Ovis aries: one gene and its partner. The protein of the gene in region 1 binds, or shares a complex with, the protein of each later gene. Links are inferred from orthologs where the notes say so. Each region holds a gene or a part of one and is shown on either strand. Other genes may lie near its edges.

Evidence for each region.
Region 2: TREX1 (region 1) and nucleoside diphosphate kinase A 1 share a complex: the UniProt entries of both Homo sapiens proteins name them as parts of the SET complex. The link is inferred for Ovis aries from reciprocal best matches to the Homo sapiens genes TREX1 and NME1.

Annotation. Positions count from the first base shown.
Region 1 is NC_056072.1:51,425,441-51,431,717, forward strand, and holds TREX1 (three-prime repair exonuclease 1), read right to left. Parts: upstream 2,827-6,277; 5' UTR 2,738-2,826; intron 2,447-2,737; 5' UTR 2,426-2,446; coding exon 1,478-2,425; 3' UTR 1,433-1,477; downstream 1-1,432. Other genes in the region: SHISA5 (protein shisa-5), read left to right, coding at 1-104, 185-264; ATRIP (ATR-interacting protein), read right to left, coding at 3,460-3,527, 3,936-4,188, 4,412-4,492, 5,263-5,354, 5,523-5,659. UniProt on the Homo sapiens protein: Major cellular 3'-to-5' DNA exonuclease which digests single-stranded DNA (ssDNA) and double-stranded DNA (dsDNA) with mismatched 3' termini. Prevents cell-intrinsic initiation of autoimmunity.
Region 2 is NC_056064.1:35,332,057-35,338,544, forward strand, and holds the end of nucleoside diphosphate kinase A 1, read right to left. Parts: intron 5,212-6,488; 5' UTR 5,208-5,211; coding exon 5,082-5,207; intron 2,778-5,081; coding exon 2,676-2,777; intron 1,636-2,675; coding exon 1,523-1,635; intron 1,037-1,522; coding exon 919-1,036; 3' UTR 729-918; downstream 1-728. UniProt on the Homo sapiens protein: Major role in the synthesis of nucleoside triphosphates other than ATP. The ATP gamma phosphate is transferred to the NDP beta phosphate via a ping-pong mechanism, using a phosphorylated active-site intermediate.

The sequences.
Region 1 (6,277 bases):
AACGTACCAGGGCTACCACTCCGTGGTGCCCCAGCCGGGGCTGCCAACAGCACCCTACCCAACCCAGCCCATGGGCCCCCCCGCCTACCACGAGACGATGGCAGGTGAGTACGCCTGCCGACTCCACCATGCCTGACCCTCTGCAGCCACGGCCACAGCTAACTGGTGTCCTCTCTGTTTTCAGGAGATGCAGCCCTGCCCTACCCTGCCAGCCAGCCTCCTTATAATCCGGCCTACATGGAGCCCCCGAAGATAGTCTCTTGAGCACTCCCTGGTGTCTCTGGCTACCAGCTGATCTGTCCTGCGTGTGTGACTGGGTGTGCGGGTGCGGGCCTCTCTCCCCAGGCGTGGTGTGTGTGATGGCGATGAGGGGTGCATGAAGCAGCCCATGGCAGAGTTGCCGGGACCACGTTGTGCTCCCCTCCTCACTTGAGATTATGCTTCCTGGAACCCCACAGAACGGTTCTTTTCTAGCCACCCCAGCGAGACCTGGGGCTGGAGCAGGGATGCTTGTCATACTAGGACAGCTCAGCTTTTGTGTGGGCAGGATGCACCCGTCTTCCGGTTTCTGTGGCATGGCTAGCCGTCTTTGAAGCACTAGAGCCACAGTGCGGGCGAGCGGGTGAGGCTGAGGACTGCAGGTGGGTCTCGATCTTTCCTGTGGCTCCCACAGCCGGGGCCTTGCCCCGTGGAGGGTGGGTGGCCTGATTATCTGAACGCCTCAGGCGGAGCCTCACCCTTCCTGAAAACTATCTTTCTGGACCCTTCTCGCACCCTTCCTGGGACCACCTGGAGGCCCACACTTACCCATGGTTCTGGTTGCCCCGGTTGGCCCTGGCCCCTTTCACAGGTGGACAGGGCAGCCTCTGACCACTTGTCCACTCAGGTGTCCTCCCTGCAGTGTTTTTATTTTACTGTTCACTAACTATTTTACCTGTTTTCTGTTTCAAAATGTGTGTAATGGTTGCTGTGAGGCTGAAACCGTTGGGTCCTAGAGGGAGACTTCCCTGAGAGGAGAGGGACTCTGAGTTCCTGCTTCTCCATCACCAGCCTCACAGGCTACCCGGCTGCTGGACCCCGGGCCTAGGTGTGTCCTGGCAGCGGGGACACCTGGGTCAAGGTGTCGTCTGGACCAAAGGTGGAGGGGACCCTGAGGGGGCTCCTGTGACCTAGACACATACCTCGGTGTTCCCCACCCCTCTGTCTGTGTCTTACCATGTCGTAGGTTGGGACCTCTTAATGTGTTTGGAGTCTTGGGTCTGCACCCTTGTTTGTAATAAATGCAGATATTTCGAGCTGTTGCCTCCTTTCATTGTAGCCCTGGCTGCTGGGATTAGGGGTAAAGACTCATTTTCTGTGCCCCTGGCCCCAGGTCTCTGAGCGTGGGCAGGAAGCTGTAAGGCCACCACAGCAGGTAGAGGTGAGTGATCGCTCAGTGCTGTGGGGGTTTTTTATTAGTCAGACTTCCCTTGCTGGCCTATTGCCCGGGCATGGCCAGGGACAGCCCATACAGCATGGCTACCGCCAAAGTCAGGAAGGCCAGAAGGCCCAGGGGGGCCAGCAGCCCCTCCCCGGGTGGGGCTCCAGGGCACTTCACTGGGGGAGGGGCTGGCTTGGGGCTCCTGTCTCCGCGAAGCTTGGGGCCGGTGTCATTGGCTCTGGCCAGGGGCACAGTGGCTGTGACAGCAGATGGCCTCGGGTTGGTTCCAGTAGATGCTGTGACCACGTACATTGGCTTGACGGTGCTGAAGGGCTTGGCATGAGCATCCACCCACCGTAGCAGGGCCCGCGGCCTCCACTGACAGATGCTTAGCAGGGCGAGCACGTCCCCCTCGGCGGTATGCGAGTCTGGCGGGGCCTGCCCGTATAGGCGTGTGTAGATGCTGCCCAGGCTGTAGCTCTTCCTTGGGCCATGCTCTGAGGAGCTGCCAGCCGGCTCCAGAGCCTTCAGAGCAGCGATGCTGTCCACACAGAAGGCATCGTCCAAAGCACTGGCCAGGCCCAGCAGCGCCAGCTCGGCCCGGAGCAGGGGGAAGTCGTAGCGGTCACCATTGTGGGCCACAAGGCACCAAGGCTGCGGCTGGCGCTGTAGGAAGGCGCGGATCAGGTTGACCAGGTCGGCGTCAAAGACCCGATGCCCATGTGCAGCCAGCACGGCAGTGCTCAGGCCCGTGATCTCGCTGGCCACGGGGCTGCATGCCTTCCCTGGAGCCACACACAGGGAGAGCTTGTCTAGCACCCGGGGTGGCGGGGGTGCCGTTGGTGGAGACCCCTGAGGGGTGGAAAGGCCCTCCAGGGCATATCTGTGGATGGCCAGCAGGCACAGCTCGGTGATCTTGGGCTGGGAGAAGGGCAGGCCAGTGGCCTCCAAATCCAGGAAGATGAGGGTCTGCACAGGCCCCGGGGGCAGGGCCCGTGAGCCCATGGTGGGTGTCTGCCGCTGAGCCTGGGGAGGAGCAAGGGGTCGGGGTGGGAACGTGAGTGCTCGCTGACGGGCGGTAAGGCAGGTGGAGTGGGAGCACCTCAGGCCTTCCCTGCCCCATTAGATCCTGTTGCTGAGCTCCAGCACCCACTATCAGGCAGGAAGACAGAGAAGGTAGGGTGGCTTCCTTAGTGGGACCTGCTCACTCAGCTGTCCAGGGGAAGGCTCAGCTCCTCCCCTGGGGCCCTCTTAGTGTGTGTTGGGGTACCCACAGCCCTCCCACCCTGCCTCATCCCCTTGGGGGTTCTCACTTACCGAGGAGCCAGCAGGCAGCAATGACTCAGGGTACACACTCTCTGGCTGGTTCTTGCTGCCGGCAGCAGCAGTGGCGGGAAGTGAAACTTGGCCTGAGCCCGCCCAACGGCTGGTGTGAGCACGGCCCGCCCCGCTTGTCAGCTGGCCTGGGCCATCCCTCCTAATAGCACCCGTCCTTCCCCAGGCACCCGCAGGGCTGCCCCAAAGGCCTCAGATCTCTGGCTGTGGGCCCACTGGCTAGCATGGTGCACCAGGGCCCTCACACGCTCACGGTGGGAGGACCAGGCTATGGGGGGAGGTTGGCTCCATGACTCGGCCTGCCGGGAGCCGCCCTGCCATGGCCATTTTGCACCCAGTCCGTCGCCTCACTTTCCCAGGCCTCCCTGGTTTAGGCCTGGGCTGAGGGCCGCCTCCACCCCTGCGCACAATGGTTTCTTCCGGTGGCCTCAGGAGAGAGGGATGACTCAGGGCAAATCCACAGGGGCAGGGCTCCTTCCCCAGGGCAGATTCATCCCCATGGGGCTGGGGCTCCGCTCTGCTCTGCCCCTCCCGCTCTGCTCTGCCCCTCCCGCTCTGCTCTGCCCCTCCCGCTCTGCCCATGCGGAGCAAACTCAGGAAACAGAAAGCTGGCGTGCTCTCAGCCAGTCAGTGCTTTTAATCAGAGGAGGAGGGAAGGACAGGAGTGGCTCTGGTGCCACCGTGTGGCTCGGTGCTCACAGGCCTCAGCCACAGTCCATCTCGGGCTCGTCCGCGTCGGTCTCCACGGCACAGAGATCCTCCAGGGCCGCCTCTGAGCCAAAACCCAGAAGGTTCTGTGGTGAAGGCCCAAAGGTGCTGGGACTGGGGGTGGCCCCACCACTCCGTCCGCCCCCCCAGGCCCACAGGAACTAACCAGTCCCTTCCACGCCCAGGCCTCGCTCCCTCAGCTACTGCAAGCAAAGTGACAGAAAGGCAATTCAGACAGGGATGTTTCTGGAAAAGCCGTGGCTCTGCCTGGCTGACTCAGTAGATACGAGCCAAAGGCAGGCTGATACACTGAGAGAGGAGCCAGAGCAGGAAAAGGAGGAGTGGCCTGGTGCTGGCAAAGGCTGTGTGGATGGTGGGCCGCTGACTTAAGGCCAGAGGGTCTGACTCGCCTGGGGACTTCAGGGCCGACCCCACGTGGGTGCTGGGGTGGGGGCGCCTACTGCAGGCTCACCTTCACAGTCGGTCACGTCAGGAAGCCCTCGAATCAGCATGCTGACCCCGGGCATGACCTGGTCGTACTGGTGCAGGACCTCCACGCAGTGCACCGTGAAGAGCTTGTCCTTCTGGGACAGGCCGTGCAGCAGCAGCACCGTGTCCCGCAGACACCGCACCGTCCGCCTCTGCCGCTCGGTCTGCGGGGGGCCCCCTGCCCGCCGCACCGTCAGCCACTGTCTGTGCAGCACCACCGTGAGTGCTCTGACCACCTGCGGGAGGGCGTGGGCGGAGGTCAGGGCATGTGGCCTCTGTACCCAGACCACCCGCTCGGCGGGGCAGCCCCGGTCCTAGCCTCCCCCCAGGGTGAGGAGGGTTCTGAGCGGCAGCACCAGGGTCCAGCCCTGGTGAAGGAGCATAGGATGCTCTCAGACAGCCCTGTCACCCACCAGCAGGGCTGCCCGCTGCCAGCCCCCTTCCGCCCCCGGCACTCACCTCCACGTTGCACTGGCAGCTGGAGCCAGTGACTGGGGAGGAGGGGCTCTGCACACCCAGCTTGGCCAGAAGCCACACAGCCTAGAATGAGAACAGACTCGGTTACATCCGCGCCAGACCACCACCCCAGTTCCGGTCACGGTGAGGGCTTTCTCAGGCTTCTCGCAGAGCTCCCGTTGCCTAAGCAACTGCCTGTCTGGAGAGTCCCTTGGACTGCAAGGAGATCAAACCAGTCCATCCTAAAGGAAATCAGTCCTGAATATTCACTGGAAGGACTGATACCAAAGCTGAAACTTCAATACTTTGGCCACCTGATTCGAAGCGCTGACTCCAAAGACCCTGATGATGGGAAAGATTGGAGGTAGGAGAAGGGGACGACAGGATGAGATGGTTGGATGGCATCACTGATTGAATGGACATGAGTTTGAGCAATCTCCCGGAATTGGTGATGGACAGGAAAGCCTGGCGTGCTGCAGTCCATGGGGTCACAAAGAGTTGGACACGACTGAGCAACTGAACTGAACTGTCTGCACTGATGGGATCCAAGAGGTAATGGTATCCCGGGCCTTCCCAGGAGACACTCAGGATCAAGACCTGTGTCTCACCAATGACCCCCTGCCTCCTGGCCCACCTCTAGGTACCCTGCCAAGTCCCAGGATACCCTGGATCCACGTGTATTATATCTGTATAGTAGGGGGCCCCCCAAAACGAGTCTTCCTTGTTAGTTTCTAAACACATCACCGATGTGAATGAAAGCCTCTTTGGTCCCCTAAGGAGGAAAAGTGCCCCTCCAGTGGGGTGGCGTGGGGTGGGGTGGCAAGCCATCCACAAAGGGGCTCTGGTGCTTTCACCTCTTGCTCCAGCTGCAGCCACTGTGTCTCGGAGGCGGCTGAGTCAGGTCTCGATGTGATGTACATGTACAGCAGCAGCAGGAGGCAGCCTTCTGGAAGGGAGGCCCCAGCTGGCACTCAGGCTCTGCCCTCCCACCCACCGCCTGAGGTACAAGCTGCGAGAGGCCTCAGGAGGTGCCTGGCCCATCCCTGCCACCTCCCTCCCCTCCAACCAGCCGGAGCTGTCCGGGCATGTGCCCCCATCCCCTGGCCTTCTTTACCCGAGTGGGAGCAGAGCTGAGCTGCGAGCTTCTCATGGTCCACCAGGAGGGACAGGAGCTCAATCGTCAGCAGCACGCTGGGCAGAGGTGTCTCTGGGCACAGGCATTGCGGCAGCACCCTGAACACGCACTGGAACCTAAAACACAGGGGCCCAAAAAGACGTGATGCCTCCAATGCAACTCCATAACTCACCCTCCTTTTTTACTGTTGGTAACAGGAAATTGAAGAGGCCAGGGAAGAGGAGCTTGGATTCAGACAGACCTGGGGTCAAATGCTAGCCTGCAAACAAGTGAGTTACTCTTCACTGCGGGGCTGCCGTGGCTGAAAGAGGACAGGACCTTCCCTGGCCCAGTGCCACCTCGAAAATATGGGATGCCTCCGTGGACCTGGGGAGCTGGCCTCCACACTGCTCCCAGCTCCTTCCTGCCTCTGCTATCAAATACAGAGCCAGGTCTTGAGCTGAGTGTGAGAGGAAAGTCCTGAACCCACCACCAAAGGACTGGCCAGACTCTGGTCGGATCTCATGAAATCACTTGCCAGGCAAGGAAGACTTCATTTTCTCCGCTTGTCAGGATACACTAGCGCCTCTGCAGCCAAGTACGTGAAGGTACCCACTTGAGGTGTACATGGTGAGGGGCTCGGGCATTCTTCCCCCCCCGTCTCAGTGGCAAAGAGCTGGCCCATTCATTACCAGGGAGCCAAGTCCCAAGATAAGCACTGCTGTTTGCTCAACCCACACAACCTCCTAGATGGC
Region 2 (6,488 bases), on another chromosome or scaffold:
CACCTTCACTTTTTCACATCTCTTTGGCCAGAATTTAGTCCTGTGGCTCTATCTACCTGCAAGCTAATAAAATCAAGCTAATTAATATAACCATAGCTTCCCATAGTTACATTTCCTCCCTCCTTCCCTCTCTCTTGTGGTGAGAACACAGATCTACCCAATCTAGCAAATTTGAAGTATACAATACAGTACTGTTAATTGCAATCACAGTGATCAACATTAGATTTCCAGTTTGAACTTATAATTTCCATACAAATACATCTTGTCTCTGTTAAAGCACCCAAATCAATATCCTAACAAATCAAAACTCTTTACAAAATAACTCCTGCATGTTTTAAGGTCATCTCAGAAATCCAGGCCCACTATCCACATAGCTTTTCTGTTTTGGAGTAGTTACAACTTCTCACACTCGCCCAAACACTGAATCCCTGAGAGCTTCTCAAGAGCAAGAAAGATATTAATATCTTTTATTTCCAGGGAATCCTTGATGTATATAGTACAGTTTGGGCAACTAAGCAGATCCCTGGCAGATAGCTGTTTGACTGGCTCAGTGCCAAGAATGGACAGAATGCAGGGGAAAGAGGGACAGGCATAAAAATGTGTGTGTATGTGTGATCTCTCAGGCCAATATAAATAATTTATATGGTATTTACACTCTATTAGATTAGCCAAGTACCTAAAAAAAGAATACAAAGCAATACAACAAAACAAAAGTAACTCAATGACTCTTTCCTTGAGATGAAACATTTTAATCTGATGATAGCATATAACACTGTACATGGAGCACCCACAGCTCCAAGAGTTTCCCTCCAAATGAAAAGCAAGTTCTCCGAAATAACCAGGTTTGAAATGGCCTGGTCCTTGCCTGCGGGAGGGGGGGAAACTAGCATGGGATGAGCATTGTGGTCTGCTTCCAAGTCACTCGTAGATCCAGTTCTGAGCACAGCTCTTGTAATTCACCAGTTCCTCAGGGTGAAACCACAAGGCAATCTCCTTCTCTGCACTCTCCACGGAATCACTGCCATGGATGATGTTCCTGGATGGGGAAAGAGATGGCCAGAACCAGGATTAAACTGCCCAGAAGCTCCCCTCATTCCCATTGCCAGAAAGCCTACAGCCACAAGAGCAGGATAAAAAAACAAAGCTCCATGTACATTATTCCTTGTCAAAAGAAGAAACCTATGATTGCCATCAAAGTAAGGATAAAGAATTCCCTCCACACAGCCAGCCCTCTGATGTTCAGCCCATCTGAACACTAATGCAAGCAGTGGGAGCCTTCAGGAAGACTCTGGCCAGGTTCTACTCTCCCAGCAGAGGCACAACCATAGTGATGATGATGACCAAAGGCAGAGGGCCTGCAAGGCCAAACTAAGAAAAGCCAAAGTAAGAAAGAGGGAAACAATACACTCTGATTATAAATGGATCTGTATATGGCATCATGTCTACCCTCAGCTGCAGAAAACCAAATTCTTACTGTACCTAACTTGGATTTTAGATAAGAGTAAAATGCAACAACCCCTACCTGCCAACTTGGATGCAAAAGTCCCCACGGATGGTCCCTGGCTTGGAGTCCGCAGGGTTGGTCTCCCCAAGCATCACTCGACCTGTCTTCACAACATTCAGTCCCTCCCAGACCTCCAAGGACAGAAGAAGATATGGTTAAGGAAAAAAATCAATCTCAGCAGAAAATCTGAAAACTATTAATTCAAAAAGAAAATAAAAGGCTCTCATAAAATGGCATTCATTCATCGAACAAGTATTTATGGGGCATCTAAGTGTTCAGCACTGGGAATACTGGTCTTCCTGCACTCTTCTTGCTTTTCTACTATCTATTCTTGACACAGCAGCCAGAGTGGACTTTTTAAAATACCAAGCGTAAAAAACTCCTACAGCCTCCCAGCAGTCATGAAGTACAGGGCCAAGACAGCCCTACATAATCTGGCCTCTGCCTCTGCCACTGAATAAATCTCACCCAACCTTCCCTTTCACCCACCAGGTTTCATCTATTCCAAACGTCCTTCTGTACTTCAAAAAGTTCCCCACCCCAGGTTCTTTGCACATGCTATTTTCTTGGTTGAGAATGCTCTTCACTCTATATTTGTGCATAGCCGGCTCCTTCTCATGCAGATCTCAGTTTGAAAATCATGTTTCTTGACCACTCAATCTAATGTGGCCACTTCCTATTATGTCATCTTATTTCATTTCTGTGCATCACTAATCATTAGCTGCTATGTATGATTTTTGGTTTCTTTATTATCTGCCCATCCTCCCTTTTCAGGATATACAGGCAAGGAAAGCTATGAAAACAGTTACCTATTTTTGTCTCATTCATGATTATATCCCCAAGTGTCTAAAAAAGAGCCTGGCACAAAGATGACAACCAATACGTGCTCAAAGAAGAATTACTACAATAAATAAGACACAATCTCTCTACCCTCCAGGAGCTTACAATCAGGCATCTCTCTCCTGATGTCTCCCAGATATGAGTCTTCAGCTCACCAAGCAAATGTATTTTGCCTTTGGTGAGTCAGAAAACTCATACCCTAATTGTCCAATGCCCCAGTCTCAGCATCCTCGCATCAGTGAAGACCTGGCATTAGGAGCAGGAATCACAATATTCACTCTTTGCTCCCAACTGAGCCATCTGTATCAACATCCCAAACATGTACACTCACCATGGCAACCACTGGCCCTGAGTGCATGTATTTCACCAGGCCAGCAAAGAATGGACGGTCCTTCAGGTCAATATAGTGCTCCTTGAGAAGGTCTTCAGAAGCCTAGCCCATAAGATAGAGAAAGAAATTTCATTCCCAAACTATTTAAGCACAATTTAGTTATTTCCCACTCACCAATCCTGCTATTTAAAACGTGAGCTCTCAGCTCACTTGTTCTATTATAATCTAATTCACTCAACTTACCAAAAGTGACAGGGACTATAAGTGCTCCAGCTTTTACCAATTTTCCCCTATTGTCCTTGATTGATCAGCATAAAATTACAGAACACTAGAACTGAATCCAGCCATGGTATTTTAGACAGGAAAACTAACAATACGATGAATTTGCATTCCCAAACAATTCTCAACTAAAATGTTAGAGGGAGGTGGTCTCAGCATTGGATGAAAAGCAAACTGAACCAGAGCATTTCTCATCACATTTAAAAAATAGCAAAGGCCCAGTGCAGTGACCATGCAATTTCCACAGGTATTGCAAACCACCCAAAAGCACATGCCATCTAACAATAAGTCACTTTACTAAAGAATAAATCTTTCACGTTGCAAGGCTGGTATCTGGGAACAAATCAGACTAGTTATAGAGAGCAAACCATCTGCTTAGCAATGCCAACTCGACTCACCTGTGTTTCCTCTTTGCTACCACTTACATGCTCCTTAAGGGTCTAATGAGATCCCTTAGTTTTCCCAGTTCTGTAGTACTGCTTCGTACAGAATGCTGCACACTTCAGTGATACACACAAACGTGGGGATTTGCTGCCAAAAAGCACATCCTGAACATGCTATCGTTCAGCCCCATTGATCGTCTCTTGCCAAAGTAAAATTACACAGCCACATCGTCACCCCGTTAGTATTCATCCTGACCCATCCCTCAATCCATATGGGAGACTTGCAGTGATTGTCTCCTGATGACCTTCCCTTACCAACATTCTTTTAATTCTATTAATTGGCGCTGGCTTTTTTTGTGTGTTGGTGCGGGAGGCGGGGACAGGTGGGAGGGAACTCAAGTTTTCCTTCACATCAGATTTAAATAACCCTGTAGGCTCATGGCAGCTATCCCCCAACCCATTCTTCACCAAGTCCAGGCCCTTGATAGGAAACAGTCTAAAGGACAAAATGTATGCACTTAAGGGTCAGAGAGCCCTGCGTGAAAATCCTAGCTACGTCACCAACTGGGTAACCACACGTTACTCAAACTCTCCAAGCCCCAGTTAGCTTCCTTATCATTAACAACCATGGGAATAGAAATAAATACTTCTCTGGGTTGTCATGAGAGCTAGTGAGAAAACACATGTGCCCAACACATGGTAAATATCTGATCAATAATACTTTGATTTCCCTTTATCTTCAAAACCTAATTCAATATACAAACTCTCTGGAAAGCACTGCTAATCCAATCCCTGGTTCTAATCATTCTATCATGCTATCCCCTCAGCATTAACAGCAGTCTGCTCCCTTTTATATTAACACACTTTTTCTAAAACATCACATGGGAACTATAGTGCAAATCAAACAAAATTTTAAATGCACTAGATGGGGAATTTCCTGGCAGCCCCAGTGGCTAGAATTCAATGCTTTTACTGCCAGGGCTGAGGTTCGGTCCCTGGTCAGGAAACTAAGATCCCACAAGCCATGCAGCGCAGCTAAAAGATAAAATGCACTGGGAAAGTCCAAAGTTGACTCTCTTTCTCTGATTCATTCACTAAAGGTGACTCTTAATAGGGGGAAAAAAAGATGATCCCCTAATGTATTTGCTTTGAGAACTTAAGTTATTTCCCAGGTGTGTTTGAAGAAGGGTTCTTGGCCAATCAATCCTTTGGAGTTTTTGAAATATTGCTTTGCAGGTATCTTGCAAGGGCATTTGCTCTCTGTTTCAGGTGGGCCTCCCCAAGGGCACAGCCACAGCTTTCCCCTATATGCCCAGATAGCGTCTAATACATGCTAGACACTAGGCAGGTGGTAAACAATGATAAAAAGACTTCCTTGCTGAAAAACAATTTGCCTCAAATGGTGGGGGGGTGGGGGCAAAGGTGAGGGTCAGGGAGTCTCTAAAATGATCTGCTCAGGAAGCTCAAGATCAGCAGCTCAAACAGGTCCAGGGCTTTGTGTCAGAAATCACTGTGTTACAGTAATATGTGGAACTCTGCACTGCCAAGAGAAAAGGGAGGCTACTTCTGAAAGTCCTGAATAACTCGCTGTATTCCAAGACTCGGTGGAGAGGCCACAGTTTCAGGACATTTATTCACTCTAAATGGAGAAATCTAAAATGATCTGAAGGGAGAGAGAGGCTGACCTACGGTGTTCCCCTATTTCTATGAAGTAATAGAAACAGCAAGAATGAAGTCCACTTACCCGCATGAATTTCATGGCAACAAGACGGAATCCCTTTTGTTCAAAACGCTTGATTATTTCTCCCATGAGGCCTCGCTGGACTCCATCGGGCTTGATGGCAATGAAGGTGCGCTCGCTGCTGGCCATGGTCCTGGGGATAGGCAGGTGGAGGGATGAAGCAACACTGAATATCCTGCCTACCTCATTATCCTTCTCAAGCAGATTATCCCACAAAGCTGCTTTAAATCTGTGACATCAATTCCAGGACTCTCTAGTAAAAACCTAATTCCACCTCAGTCCCCCCATCTATGAATTAATATCCCGGAGTGGAGAAGGGTCGAAAAGCCGGGGTTATAATTCATTTGATTGAATAAGCTTCTGTTAAGTCATATCAAGTGGATGTGACTGCCAGTTCACCCTCAATCTGGACCCAGGCGATCAGAGGCTCCTCACTCCCTCCCCTGTCCTTGGAATATACACTCTGTACACTGTTCCCATAGCAGGAGCCATTCAAGGATGCAGCTTTGAGAGAGGTAAGGTGTTACTGAGACCATCTGCACAGAACATGTGACTGAACCCAGTTAAGGCCTCTATATGATTTAAGATTCTGCTGGGTGGGTACAATGCAATCAGCCAAGATAAGCCTCATGTGTATGTTCCCTGTCTTATTAAAACTGCCACCTTCCAACCTAGAGTGGTCTGCCTCTTTGGTCTCTCCTTGCCCTCTACTCTCAGGGCCAATTTGTGAACTAATAATTGGGGAACCAGCCAAGACACTGAAGAAATGGGCCTTGAGAAAGAAGCATCCCTAGAGGAACTCCAAGCTGAATATCTACCTCTATGTGGGGAAGGTGGCCTGTATGTCTGATGCTTGTGGACCACTACAGGAGAACAGGGATGCCCCGGAAACCCTGGCTACTTTAACATGTTTGTTAGAGAAACTACACAGGCAACAATGAAGAGAAATGAATGGTTGCCACAGCGGGCAAGCCACTGGCCCCAGATGCACCAGAGGCTGAAGCTTGAGTTAGCTGGAAGAAGTGCTGAAGTCAGAGAAGAACATGCAGGTATCCACTGCTCTGCCAGCTCTGGGGCTGGGAGACAAGGTAAAAGAGCAGGCTGATAAGTTGGAGACCTTAGCTTTTATGTAGCAAAGCTAGGAGGGCACAAGCTGCTGCAGATTAACGTCCAAGTGCTGTGACAAAGCCTGATTAGCGCACTAAGAGACAGAATCCTCGGGAAAGTGAGAAGCACAAAGGGGAGGATGTTGTAGTGATTGACAGTGAAACAGATGAAGCACTCGACGTTGTCCAACCTCTAATACAAAGAAAAATTTTAATCAGTAATTACCCTAGACTTATGGAAATAGAGAAATACACCCCAAAACTTCTAAGAGAAAACTTGCATTCTTTCTCTGTCTCTTGAAAT